Regions from separate parts of the Mus musculus genome. Here regions 1, 2 and 3 are each reported to be linked to region 4. Evidence: microRNA targets listed by miRTarBase, many of them from high-throughput screens and not tested one by one. Region 4 holds a microRNA gene; each other region holds the end of a gene's coding sequence.

Region 1 (3,030 bases), not on the chromosome of region 4:
GGCGGACCTCCCCCAAGGTCTGGGGGGCAAGCAGCTGGAAAATTGGGCTCGGGAGCTCTAGGATCTGAGGTCTTCCTGGCTCCCAGGGTTCAGTCCTCCATGCACCCCAGATATGGGGGCAATGAAAGGTAATCATGGATCAGAGGTGGGTATCGACAAGGAACAGGGCAAGGGGACCTGGGAGAGGGGGTACTGGAGATGGGGGACTAGGGAACCTTCCCCAAGTCCCCACTGCTTAATCCGAAGATCTCACAGCACCATACAGCACTCTGGTCCCCCTCCCCACCCCTTCCCAAAACGAGGTAGGTTAAGAATGGAGCTTCCCCCGCTTACCATGGAAGGGGGGGAGACCGAGGCACAAAGAGAGGATGGGGACGCAGGCTGCCCCAGCCCCCAGTCCCTCTGCCCTCAGCTCTGGTGGGTCTGACAATTGATGAGAGCTGGGCAGAAGGGGGATGGGAGGGACACCCTCTTTCCCCATTTTCTCTCACCCATCCCAGGATCTGCTTGGGGGAGCTGAATCACAGGTTCCGGATACAATAAATAGTTAATAATTTAAAGGAAGTGACACAAATATTCATCCCTTGAACCCCCACAAGGCCACCCAAGTCTGGGTAATGAAAAATGATTCAAGTGTACATTCCCAGGTACTTAGGGCCAGATGTAGGTCCTAAGCCCATGAACCATCAAGACTTTGGCTCTGAAATCTTAGTTCTCCTATCCAGGACACCTGATCCTAGTGTCTCTACTTAGGGAAAAGAGGCTGTGGCTCCTCTCTTCTCCATGGGGAAGTACTACAAAACAATACTGAGCTTTTCAGAGCAACCCCCAACTGAGATGGAAGAGGTTCACAGGGGAGGGACCTGAATGTACTAGGGGTTATAGTGTGGGAAATCTGCAAGGTTGGGGTGGGGGTGGGTCTTCTGGGGATCAATTGCTGGCCCCGGAATTACAGGTGTGCAAAGGGTAGGCCTTCTGCGGTCTCTGCTTGATCCCTGTAGCTGCCTGCCTCTGCTGAGCTGACAGCACACAATCTTCCATAGCAAAGCCAGGCCCTAGAGAGGGGAAAGGGGAAACTGCTAGGTGATCCCGGATTCCAGGAATCTGAATTTACACTGGCTTAAGTACCCTGCCCTAGGATAAAGGGGGTGGGGGTGGGAGTCTGGGCATTGCTAGGGCATTTCAGTTTTATGGGCCTCTGGATGGCAGGACATGGGAGACGGGGAAATCAGGTAGTGAGGAAATGGGGGCTTCATTAGTCTACAAGTACTTTGAATTCAAGAACACCTGGAGCCTAACGGTGCTGAAAGACTGTGGCATCTTGTTGCTGAATGTCTCTGGTCTGAAGGGATCAAGGTGTCAGGCCAAAACCAATCCCAAAATTGTGAGGGCTTGACTCCTGCACCCAGGGTCCAATGGCATCTTGGGTCTTAGATCCAGGGCTCATAAAGCCCTTTGGATTTGCTCTCGGGCTGAGAGTCAAGGAATGAAGGACCTGGGTTACCATGACCACCGCATCTTCTAAGTTCCAGGCTTCCACCCAACGTGGTGGAAGGGGAGTGTAGGCAGAAGGAAGCCGATGTTTCCAGAATATTTTAAAATTCAGGCCTAAGGGAAACCGGAAGGTTAGCTAATCTCTACAAACCAGTGTGTTGGGCCCAAAGTGCAGGTGGCCTTCAGGCAGACATTTAAGGATACCAGGCATCTCAGAGCCCATCCACAAGACTCAAATTCTCATGGCTGGCTTAAGGAGTAGGTGTTTGGAGCCTGGCTCCCCCCCCCCCCCCCCAGCATCTTGGTATCTGATATCTGGACCTTGCTGAGCTCTGAAAAGAGCCTCCCAAGTAATTTTGGTCTGAAAATACCTCATATGTGAGGATATCTAAGGAGTTAATACATTTTAAATCTGGGGTGCTAGGGAATTTGCGGGTCACTTGCACATGAACTGATGGCAATGTCTGTGGACTCTCAGGAGCGGGTAGAGTTCAGGCCAGTATCTGGTGATTCCAAACCATCCTGGGGCTATAAGAGCATCTAAATGTGAAGATACCAGGTCTCAGGTGAAAATTCAGGGACCATTTTCTGGTGATTCTGGGTCCTCTGGTCTCAAGGTCTAAGTCATTTGATAATAGTGTCAAGTTTGAGTAACTCTTGACTAGTTTGGGGGCCGTAAGATGAGTGTTTACAATGTCAAGTATGACCTGAAGTCTGGGTTGGGCATTTAGACAGAGTCAGGGTCCAAGATGTGAGCTCCTGGGCCCCTTGAGATGCAATGTTTGAAAATATTCTAAGTCTTCTCAGTGGGGAAAAGGTATGGAGAATCCAGAATTCAGGACTTCGGGTGGGCAGACACCCTGATGAAGCAGGGCCTCGGTATCTCAGTCCTCAGTTTGGGGTCCAGGTACCAGATCTGGGATCTCTCAAATCCATTCAAGTTCCAGATATACCTAAGTTTGGGTTTTAGGTTCATATGCTGTTCAGGGTCCTGGACCTTCAATTTTTGGGTCTTCAGACCGATTTCCAAACCAGCTCAACAATCCTCACCGTGCAGCCTCCTCGTGGCGACCCCCACAGCCCGCACAGCCACAACGTGCTGCAACCCAGTGACAGGCGCGCAGGGGCGCATAACAACAGAGACAGGGCACTGCCAGAGACAGAGCAGCCAGAGCAGCCCAGCGCGCAGCAGGGCGTGGGTGGCCTGGCTCACAAGCACACGGGTCCGAGAAGTCACCCTCGGCGTCTGACAGGCAGTGGTACAGCAAGCTCTCGGCACACCACAAGCAGCTGAGCCGGCGCACTAGCAGGCGACCTGGGTCAGGGGCCTCTGCGCAGCGACCACCACGCCCATCTGCCCGGCGGCGGAAGAGTGCTCGGCAGTGCACACAGCGTGCAGCCTCCTCAGCCTCTGGGGAGGCTTTGGCTGGAGCAGGGGTGGGGCCTGGACCTGGGGGTGGACGAGCAGGGGGTGCTGGGGGTGCAGCCTCTGTGAGAGGGGCAGGGAGTGACACTGGAGGACCCAGGGCTGCACCC
Region 2 (3,030 bases), not on the chromosome of region 4:
GCTTTGTGTGACTTGTTGACTCCTGCTTTGCCGGGGCCTGATAATAGGACCTTCTTCCAATTGCTCCTGGTGCCCATTGTACTGTACATGATGGTTACTGAGGCAATAAGAAAAACATAAAGATAAGTAATGGCTTGTGATGTAGAGTGGCTACTAGCCAGGAGGAGAAGCCAGTTTGGTCCCCTAGGCCATTGCTCCACCATCCACATCCTGAAGAGGCAAAGCCGAATGAACAGAAACTCGGTGTTCTAAGTGTTTCTGTTGTGGTCTAGGGGGTCAGAACCTCTGAGCTAAGCCTCAAAAAGTCGCAAGGGTGATTGAACATAAAGTGGTTATTTGAGCACAGGAAATACGTGGTGAGACTGATCAGACCAGGAAACCAGGCCTAGTGAGATACAGACCGGTACAGTTCATCTGGTTAGCAGGCACTGATTCGCCTTGTACATTTCAGACTTACAACAAGAAAGGGGCCTCTCGGAGGAAAGACCACCTGAAGGGCCACCAGAACGGGTCTGTGGCCGCCGTCAACGGACACACCAACAGCTTCCCTTCCCTGGAAAACAGCGTGAAGCCCAGGAAGCAGCGAAAGGATTGACAAGCCGAGCCGAAGCCTCCAGACCGCGGCGTGTGATTGTAAGCACAGCGTGACTTGTGCCCTGACGCTCATAGCAGCTGCTGTCACTAGTCTGGCCCTACTATCTGCAGTGTGACTCATGTAGGACCTTCTTCATCAGTTCAAAACCCCTAGAATATGTATACAGATTATACAAAGTAGGCATACGATTTTCTCACATTTCTGGGCTCTCATCGACCCCCGCGCTAGACTGTGGAAAGGGAATGTTCTTGTAGTATACAACACTGCTGTTGCCTTATTAGTTGTAACACGATAGGTGCTGAATTGTGGTTCACAATTTAAAACACTGTAATCCAAACTTTTTTTTTTTAACTGTAGACCATGCATGTGATTGTAAATTTGTACAATGTTGTTAACAGTAGAAAAACACACATGCCTTAAGACTTAAAAAAGCAGGGCCCAGAGCTTGTTAGTTTAATTAGGGTATGTTTCAACTTTGTATTATTCATTTGTATTAGCTCTGTTTAGAAAAATCAAATGTATGATTTATGAAACAAGTGTGTGATGTGTAACTTCAAGTGACTTGGAGATGCGAAATCTGATGGCACCCTTGGTTTTATAACGATGGCTTTAAATAAGCAGGTTCAAGTCTAGTGGAACAGTCAGTTTAACTTTTTAACAGATCTTATTTTTTTATTTTGAGTGCCACTATTAATGTGTTTAAAGAGGTGGGGAAAGGGTCCAAAGCGTCTGGAGACACTTACGTACCTGTCCCTGGTCCCCCAGAGGCTAGGGTGACTATAAGAGTAGGTCACTTTTCACTTCTGAAGTGCTTAGTGTTTTTATACAGGAGATAAAAAGGCCATTCGACTTCCCACCACTTGGAGAGAGAGAACTACCTTTCAGGAAAGGTGACGAGACATTTATTATCTGACAGACACACACACACACACACACAGTGATAAGGGACTGGTTACCTGGGTCCACATTTTTTTTTATTCTTTTCTGTAGTGCTACTTTGACATACACTTCCTTTTAAAATGTGCCTAATTTACCAAGAGACCAGGAAGCACCATAAGCATTTTGAGGTAAAATTTAAGAGCTGGAGCGCGCAGGAACTGGGTGTTTGGGAGCAACCGCTTTTTTCAGTGTGAATCATGGTGGCATCTGTAATTTTTTTCTGATTAGCACCTAAAGATCGGTTTAAAGTGCTTGGACTGCTTATCCTAAAATCGTGTCTAGTGCGCTCGAGGCATCGGTCATACAAATGGGGACTCTTTTCATGTGTGTCATTTTTAAAGTGTTGAAAGCTTAGCCTTTGAATACCTTCTGCATTGGTAAAAAATCCATGGAACCACTCATGGCACATCTTAGGAGATGATTGACAATGTATAAACTAATTGTGGGTTTGATATTTATGTAAATACCAGTTTACCATGCTTTAATTTTGCACATTCATATTACAAGGAGCCAGTTGGTCCTAATTAGCCTTGTGGGTTTTCTGTTTGGAAGGAGTTGCGGCATCTGTTTACATTTCCCTTGTCAGATCTAGAATGTGTGTATGTGTGTGTCTTCTCCCTAGGTACCCGTCTGCAGGTGTCTTTACATATCTCAATACAAAAATTATAACATTTGATAGTGTGCTGTCAAAGTGTGCTTAGCTCATCTGGATATACCCACACTGTTAAATAATGTCTAAACATTAATCATTAAAACCTTTTTGATTACCCGTGCTGTGTCTTCTGTTGTTTGATGTGCTGACAGTTCTGAAAGACTGCAGGATGGTCAACTCTGTCACCTTGTAGGAGCTTAGGGAGTGGACATGAGTAATGTAGCGTGGAAAGTGGTTGTATCAGTTGGGGGCTCTCTAGAGAAACAGAACTCATAGAATGAGTGTGGGGGTGGGGGGAGGATTTATTAGAATGGCTTACAGGTTGTGGTCCAGCTAGTCCAACAAGGCTATCTACAGACAGAGGATCCAAGGATCCAGTAGCTGTTTAGTCCACGAGGCTAAATGTCTCAGCTGCTCTTCAGGAAACACGGGTTCCAGAGCAGTCGCGTCGAATGCCAGCGAAGGATTTGCTTGAGTGGACTCACTAGCAAGAGTGAGAACAAGCAGGCAAAGAGAAGAGGGCTTCCTTCTTCTCTGTCCTGTTTAGAGAGAGGCTGCCAGCAGCAGGTAGGGCCTGGATTAAAGGTGGGTTTCTACCTCAGAGATCCAGATCTCAAGTGGGTCTTCCCACTTCAGATGATTAAGGAACAAAATCCAGCACTGGCGTAGTCAGTTTGAGTTGTAGTCAGTTCTGCATGTGGTCAAGCTGGCAACCAAGAATTGCTATCACCTCCCATGGCAGAGGACCCCAGAGCATAAATCTCAGTGTCTTCCAACAACCCTAGCTCCTCCCCTGCACCCCTGCTAGAGGGTTCACCTCTGAGCACGCTCCTGCATCCTCCTT
Region 3 (3,029 bases), not on the chromosome of region 4:
TGGTTGATATCATAGGGCTTTCGGGAAAATATACTCACCGTGCCTCTTCTTGTTCCGGCTCCTGCTGGTCAGAGTTTGCACTGGCCCATCTCACCTTTGGCCTCACTCTGGATTTCTTTGTCAGGAAAAGGAGAGGAGTGTGGGTTAATAGCTGAGCAGTGATGAGCATGTCCCTTCTGTGGAATTTATCTGCCATGACACGTAGGCCTTGAGAAAAGTAGGGTTTGCTCTTTCGTAGCCCAGGCAAGTCATTGCCTCAGTTTCCCTCTCTGCACCGTGATTCCTGTATGACCTCCGCCAGTTAAAAAGCTGAGATTCGGGCCCTCTTTGCCAACCGTCTGTGTTTGTCGCCTGTTCCTGGGCCACACTAGGCATTTACTGACTTGGATCTCTGATTCGCGCCCTAGGTGTTCTTCGTGTCCGACCTCTTCAAGACTAAGACGAGCCTCTCACTGCCCGCCCCTGCGATCAGGAGGGAGATCCTGTCTCCCGTGGACATCATCGACAGGAACAATCACCATAACATGGTGTAGATGCTGCGGCCTCCGGAGCGCTTTCTCTGAAGCGACTGCACGTTCCTGCTGCTCTCCGATCTCATCAGACAGTAGAATGTAGGGAAAAGCTTTTGCCCGATGGATTTTGAAAACATTTAAAAAAAAAAAAAAAAAGCCTTATCTTGTGGCCTTCCAAAATAGGTTGTTTGCCTGTGTGGAGACAACAGTGCGGGAGTCCTGAGTGCTGGCTGTGCAGCCAGTTAAGTGTTCATGTTCTAGTGAGCACGGGCTTGTCAAGGAGCAAAACACTAGAATAATTGAGCAGAGGCTGGGGTCATCTTTTGTGACCCGAGAAATCCCAGGCCAGAACAGCTGGAGCTCTTATGTAGCACACAAGGCTCGAACCAGCACCGAATCAGCCCCTCTGCCCGCCCCACTCTACTGTGACTTTGATTCAAGGAAGTTTGTGTGTGTGTGTGTGTGTGTGCCTCAAAATTCCGGGAATGGGCACACAATTTTTCAGTCCCGTGATCAGATCCTGAATCCCAACCCCCAAGACCTGAGGCCTCTGTCATCTCCCCATCCCCAGGCTAACAACCACAGCCCCTCACTTTTAGAGATTAGGAGACCCTTTGTGGAAGAGTGAACTTCACAAATAGCACAAGTTCAGAAGACACAGAGGGTGTCTTCTCACACACCACACTGTGACGAGGAACTGCCATTGCAGGGTCAATCACCAGGCACTTGCACATGTAGAAACCTGTAGACTTTGGTTACTGCTATATTCCCCTTGAGATCCTTGCTGGATGCCGACCAGGATTTCATGTGAGGGCCAGGGATGCACAGACCTGGTCAATCTTTGGCTGATTGAAAGAGCCTCAGTAAAGAGACAAGGAGAGAGAGAAAGGGCAGAATGAAAAAAAATGAACCAACATTTTTTGGCTCCTTGGGATCAGAGAGAGCCAGAGTAGCAGAGGGTCTCGTGCCCAAAAGGCTACCCTTCAAGATAAGGGAGCCCCGAGGGTCTTTGCAGGAGTTGATCTTGCTGTGTAGAGCACTATTGTCCCGGGGTTGACCCCTGGGGCAGTTCTTGGTGGGTTCTGCTGGGCAGAACACATGGGTTAAATCTGTGTAGAGAGTTTTCCTCATCCTCCATCCACAAGTGTCCTTCCAAGCAAGGTCCCCCTCTAGACAGTAGACAAGGACCCTTCTACTGAACCTCCAAGGAAAAGAAGAAGGAAAAGAAGAAGTGCTTTTCAAATCTTTCAAAGGGCTACATGTAACCATCTGGAATGACCACATCTACACCCTCCCAGACTCCGTCCTTTCATTTCAACATATAGCAAGCTATGATTTTATATATAAATATTATATAAATATTGTATAAAACATTAAAAGTTAACTATGTAAGATATTATTTCTGAAACAGTTTTAGTTATATCCACTATGATTATAAACTGTGTCTCGACCTGTGTTATTTACATTAGCTGCTTAAAGGAGCATTGAGTTCTTTGGTTTTGTTTTGTTTTGTTTTTTTTTAATCTCAACTAAAGATATAGTTCTGTGGTAGCCATTGTTTTACAATGAAATAACTGCAACTAGAGAAAAAAAACTGTATAAAAACATTAAATTGTCAGTATTTTTGTAAGATTCCGTTTTGTAAAGAGAATAATATTCAAACACTTTTGTGGCATACAAAGTAAAAAAAAAAAGTGTATCTGAGAAACTAAACATGTATTAAATGTGCTTTTTAAATAAAAGCTCATAACACAACTAACCAAGGCACTGGTGCCTGAGCTGTTAAAAGGATGTTTCTTTGGGATCTGCGGAGAGGAGGGTGGGGTGTGACCGTGGGGTCTCCTGAGTGGGCTTACCTTAATGGGGCACCAGTTCCTGATTGTTCAGTGGCCATGATGGAGGCAGATGTAGAAGCTGTCCTTTCATCTCTGAAGCCTGTTTGCAGAGCGATCCTGGAGGCTGACTCTCACCTCCAGCCTCTTAAAAGGGTCTTTTGTACTCTGCAGTGTTTTCATGGGGGAGGTGGGAGCTCTGGGTCCCCAAAAGATAGATATGGAGACTTCCCTAGATAAGATGGGCTTGGGGAACTTGAGGGAGAGTCTTTCCCACAGCCTATATTCAAAGGAAGGGGTTTCTGTATTGACAGGGCATTGGGTTCCTGCTCTCCTGCCTTGTGTGACCACCCGCACCACCCCCACTGCCACCACCTAGAAGGAAAAGGGAAGCTGGAAACTCAGGAGTGTTGTGCACCTGTGTGCCAGACAGTTCTATCTGGATGTTCCTTTACATCCCAACACAGTTCTTAGCTTGAGCAAGGAGGGATGCTGTGGGATGCAGACGATGTAACTTTTCTAAGAGCCGGTCAGTAGGTTGCAGGACAGGCCTTACATTAGCTTATTTTTGCTGCTGTAATAATAATTACAAATTACTGCAACTAGGTGACTCGAGACAACACGAATCTGTTACCTTCCTGGGCGGTAGGCTCTTAGGAGCACTTGCCTTATGTAGTTTCCGAGG
Region 4 (3,030 bases):
TGACCCCTCCCATCGAGTCCATAGAAGTGCCAGCAGCCGATGCCCCCCAGTTAGGGGGTCCCTGTTCGTGATGGAGGTTCTTCTTGGTGATGTTGCCATTTGGGTGAACCGGAGGCAGGGGCTCGGGAATCATGAAGGCATCCAGGAGGGTGGAAAAGTATTGGGAGTGAGGTGGGGGCGGGGAGGGGATTGTGCTTGATGCTTTTCCAATTTCAGAGATGGAGTTGAAATGTCTTCCTTCGGGTGTGACCCCCGGGGACTAGACAGGTTTGTTGGGGAACAGGAGCAAGCAATGGGAAAATGCCCCTGGAGCCTGGGCAGTGAGTAGTCCCCCAGAAAGCTGGGCCATTTGCTCCAGGCTGTCACGTCCTGGAGACTCTCAGCCTCTGGGGCTGGAAAACCCAGGAGCACAGAGGGCTGGTTTACTTCTAACCTACCAGTCAACAGAAAGGCCTGCTCTAGGAGCCAGCAGCTGGGGAGGGGAGTGTAGCCTGTGCCTCTCCCTTATCTGCGGTGCTGAGAGATTATACTCCGAATGCCCCTACACTCCCCCAAGCCGTGCCAGCTGGAGTGTTTTAGGGGCCGTGAGGGAAGTGGGCTTTCCACTCTGCATCTCCCCCGTGAGCACAGGAAGCTTCTAGAAGAATGGACCAGAGGCGGGGTAGCATGACTCTGCATTATCTTCAGAAGGTGGAGGGTTTCAAGGCATTGGGTCCCTGAAGTGTCAGGGGAGGTCAGGTCAGAGATGTCTGTGGGTAGCATCAGGATGCTGGACTCTGCTAAAGTCCTGGGGTGACTGTGGATGATGACCAAGAGGGATGCTGCCTCTGTGAGGGAGGAGCAGGAGCTGGAGCTGTCAGCAGGTGGCAGGAGGGTGTGACCCTGAAAGGTAGGAAGCCACAAGCTGCTGTCTGCTCTGGAGAATAGTGGGGGGCCGGGGGTGGGGTGCAAGCAGCCAGATTTGGGAGGAGGTAAATGAGCAGTTGCTGCCCATGGGTTTGCTGCAATGGGGTGCCATGCTAAGTGTCACAAGAAGCAGGGGTCTTGGAATTTGAGAGGCTTTGGGGTTGGGGACAAGGCTTAGAAAAGGGACTAAAGTGGGGAAAACCTGCCATTAACAAACAACCCCCTTCCCCAAATAAAACCTGTGAGTGCCAGGGGAGGGTAGTGCCCCCCAAAAACCCAGGAGGGAAAGATCTGGAAAAATGAAACCAACTCTGAGAGAGATGGGCGGGGTCAGTGGGGAACAATACTGCCGCTCCACTCCCACCCACCTTCAGGGCTGGCAAGGAGGAAGCTGCTGGTAGGGTAGAACGGAGAGACGTTCCTACGATGGGTATGTACTCCAGTGCTTTCCTGGAAGTGTAGAGAGCTTTGCAGAGCCTGCCTTAGCTGTTCTGATGTTGAGCACCTATGGTTCCAGTTGGGCTGGGTCTCAGCTCCTCTATCTTTGACCCTCAGCAAGCAGGTCTGCCAATGCATGGGCTTCTGGGCAGCCTGACCCAGCCTGCCCGGGGCCCTCAGGCCAGTGCCCAGGCTCTGGCTCCGTGTCTTCACTCCCGTGTTTGTCCGAGGAGGGAGGGAGGGACGGGGGCGGTGCTGGGGCAACTGGAACAGCGCAGGTCACCGGGCTGGCTGGGTGAGGTGGCCAGGCAGAGCCAGGGGGCTGCAGGGGAGGCCATTGGATGGGGTATGCTCATAGTAGCTGGCCAAAAGTCTCATGGGTCCCATTTATCCAGAACCTGCCGTGGAGTGGGGCGAGTTTCTGTTTCTGAGTGTGTGTCCTTAATTAACTTCTTCCTGTTTCAGCTTCGTTCTTCTGTCTATGTGGTGAGGGGTGGCAATTGGGACCACTAAGATGGAGAAGGATGTCAGAGGAGCAGAAACCATGGGAGGGGCCAGTAAGGCTGTGCCCACCTCTCTCTTGCCAGTGCTCTGTTGTGCAGCCTGGTCCTCAATATTTCCACCTAAAACCTTTGGCCTACACACACAGAGTGCCTCTGTCCCAGCTGAGCCCAGGATGGCCCCATCCTGATACCTGCAGCCTCCATCCCCATAGCTGTTTCCCCACTCACTGCTGAAGTCAGAGATGGGTCATCCTCTACAGTGCCCCCCATGATTCCTCCTCTAACAGAAAAACCCTTAAACCCCACCACTCAAAGAGAGAGATGTGGCATATCACCTCAGCCCAGCAGACCATGGCCCGGAGCAGAGCAAATAGAAGGCCCTGCTGGGCCCTGTACCTTGTTGTGCCTGTAGCCTGCTTGCGGGTGGATAATCTCTGCTTAGCCCTCCCTACTCTAGAAGGAAGGGAATCAATCAATGGATGCAGATCAAGTGGCAGGACCTAGGCTTGCAGCTCCCAGCTGTCTGGGCACCAACCCAGCCCTTTCTTGAGGTTGGGTGCTTAATAACATGTTGCTTCCCAGGACCTGCAGTCCCTGTGAAAGGCAGGTGCCCTGGGCAGGAGGAAGCAGTGTGGTAGGAGCAGAGGGTACCAGGTAGGGGAGTGGTGGGAGGGGCATTCCGTGTGCACCTCCCATCTCTGACTCCCTTTTCTCTTGACTCCCCCAAGCACCCTTGAATCAGAATACAATTCCTTCTGTTCTTCTACCAGCTGTCAGCCACTGCCCTGCTCTGTGGACCTTTGGGGACCCTGAAACCAGGTGGGACTCAGCCTGTGAGGCCAAAAGTCCCCAGGGTTCTGGGATGAAGCACAGCTCCCATGCCTTAGTAAGCAGGAGAAGGGCTAGGCCAGGCCCTCAACCTGAGACCTGGAAGAGCAGATCTGAAGGTTGCCCTACCTAGGGATGGAGGGGTGGCATCTGGGGATATATACCTTCCATGTCAGGTCAAAATCACAGAGGCTGTACACAGTTCCACTCTGCAATATGCACACACACACACACACACACACACACACACACACACACACCATCCAGCACACATAAATGCTTGTGCTTACTAAGTGCTAAAGACAAGGATGTGATCATGTAACAAGCTCTTAAGGGTGAATGCAACCTCAGAATC

The links. Region 4 holds the annotated microRNA mmu-miR-149-5p (UCUGGCUCCGUGUCUUCACUCCC, at 1,539-1,561, shown strand). A microRNA usually pairs through its seed, bases 2 to 8, with sites in the 3' UTR of a target mRNA and lowers its output. Matches are read on the target gene's strand: a 7mer-m8 pairs with bases 2 to 8, a 7mer-A1 pairs with bases 2 to 7 and ends in A, and an 8mer does both.
Region 1: the mRNA of Spred3 is a reported target of mmu-miR-149-5p. Seed matches in the 3' UTR shown: 7mer-m8 at 1,768-1,774 and 7mer-m8 at 76-82.
Region 2: the mRNA of Elovl5 is a reported target of mmu-miR-149-5p. Seed matches in the 3' UTR shown: 7mer-m8 at 2,042-2,048.
Region 3: the mRNA of Plpp3 is a reported target of mmu-miR-149-5p. Seed matches in the 3' UTR shown: 8mer at 1,454-1,461.

The regions. Positions count from the first base shown.
Region 1 is chr7:29,158,986-29,162,015 of GRCm38, forward strand. Spred3 (sprouty-related EVH1 domain containing 3) reads right to left here. Exons shown (of 6, transcript NM_182927.3): 6 at 1-3,030. The coding sequence ends at 2,541. Among named protein-coding and RNA genes, the nearest start is that of Fam98c, 4.3 kb to the left of the region's middle.
Region 2 is chr9:77,982,214-77,985,243 of GRCm38, forward strand. It overlaps Elovl5 (ELOVL family member 5, elongation of long chain fatty acids (yeast)), which reads left to right. Exons shown (of 8, transcript NM_134255.3): 8 at 452-2,306. The coding sequence ends at 595. Among named protein-coding and RNA genes, the nearest start is that of Gm34829, 4.1 kb to the right of the region's middle.
Region 3 is chr4:105,230,490-105,233,518 of GRCm38, forward strand. It overlaps Plpp3 (phospholipid phosphatase 3), which reads left to right. Exons shown (of 6, transcript NM_080555.2): 6 at 408-2,278. The coding sequence ends at 533. Among named protein-coding and RNA genes, the nearest start is that of Plpp3, 75 kb to the left of the region's middle.
Region 4 is chr1:92,848,843-92,851,872 of GRCm38, forward strand. It overlaps Mir149 (microRNA 149), which reads left to right and starts at 1,536; the gene lies at 1,536-1,601. All of the region lies in intron 1 of Gpc1 (glypican 1), which reads left to right.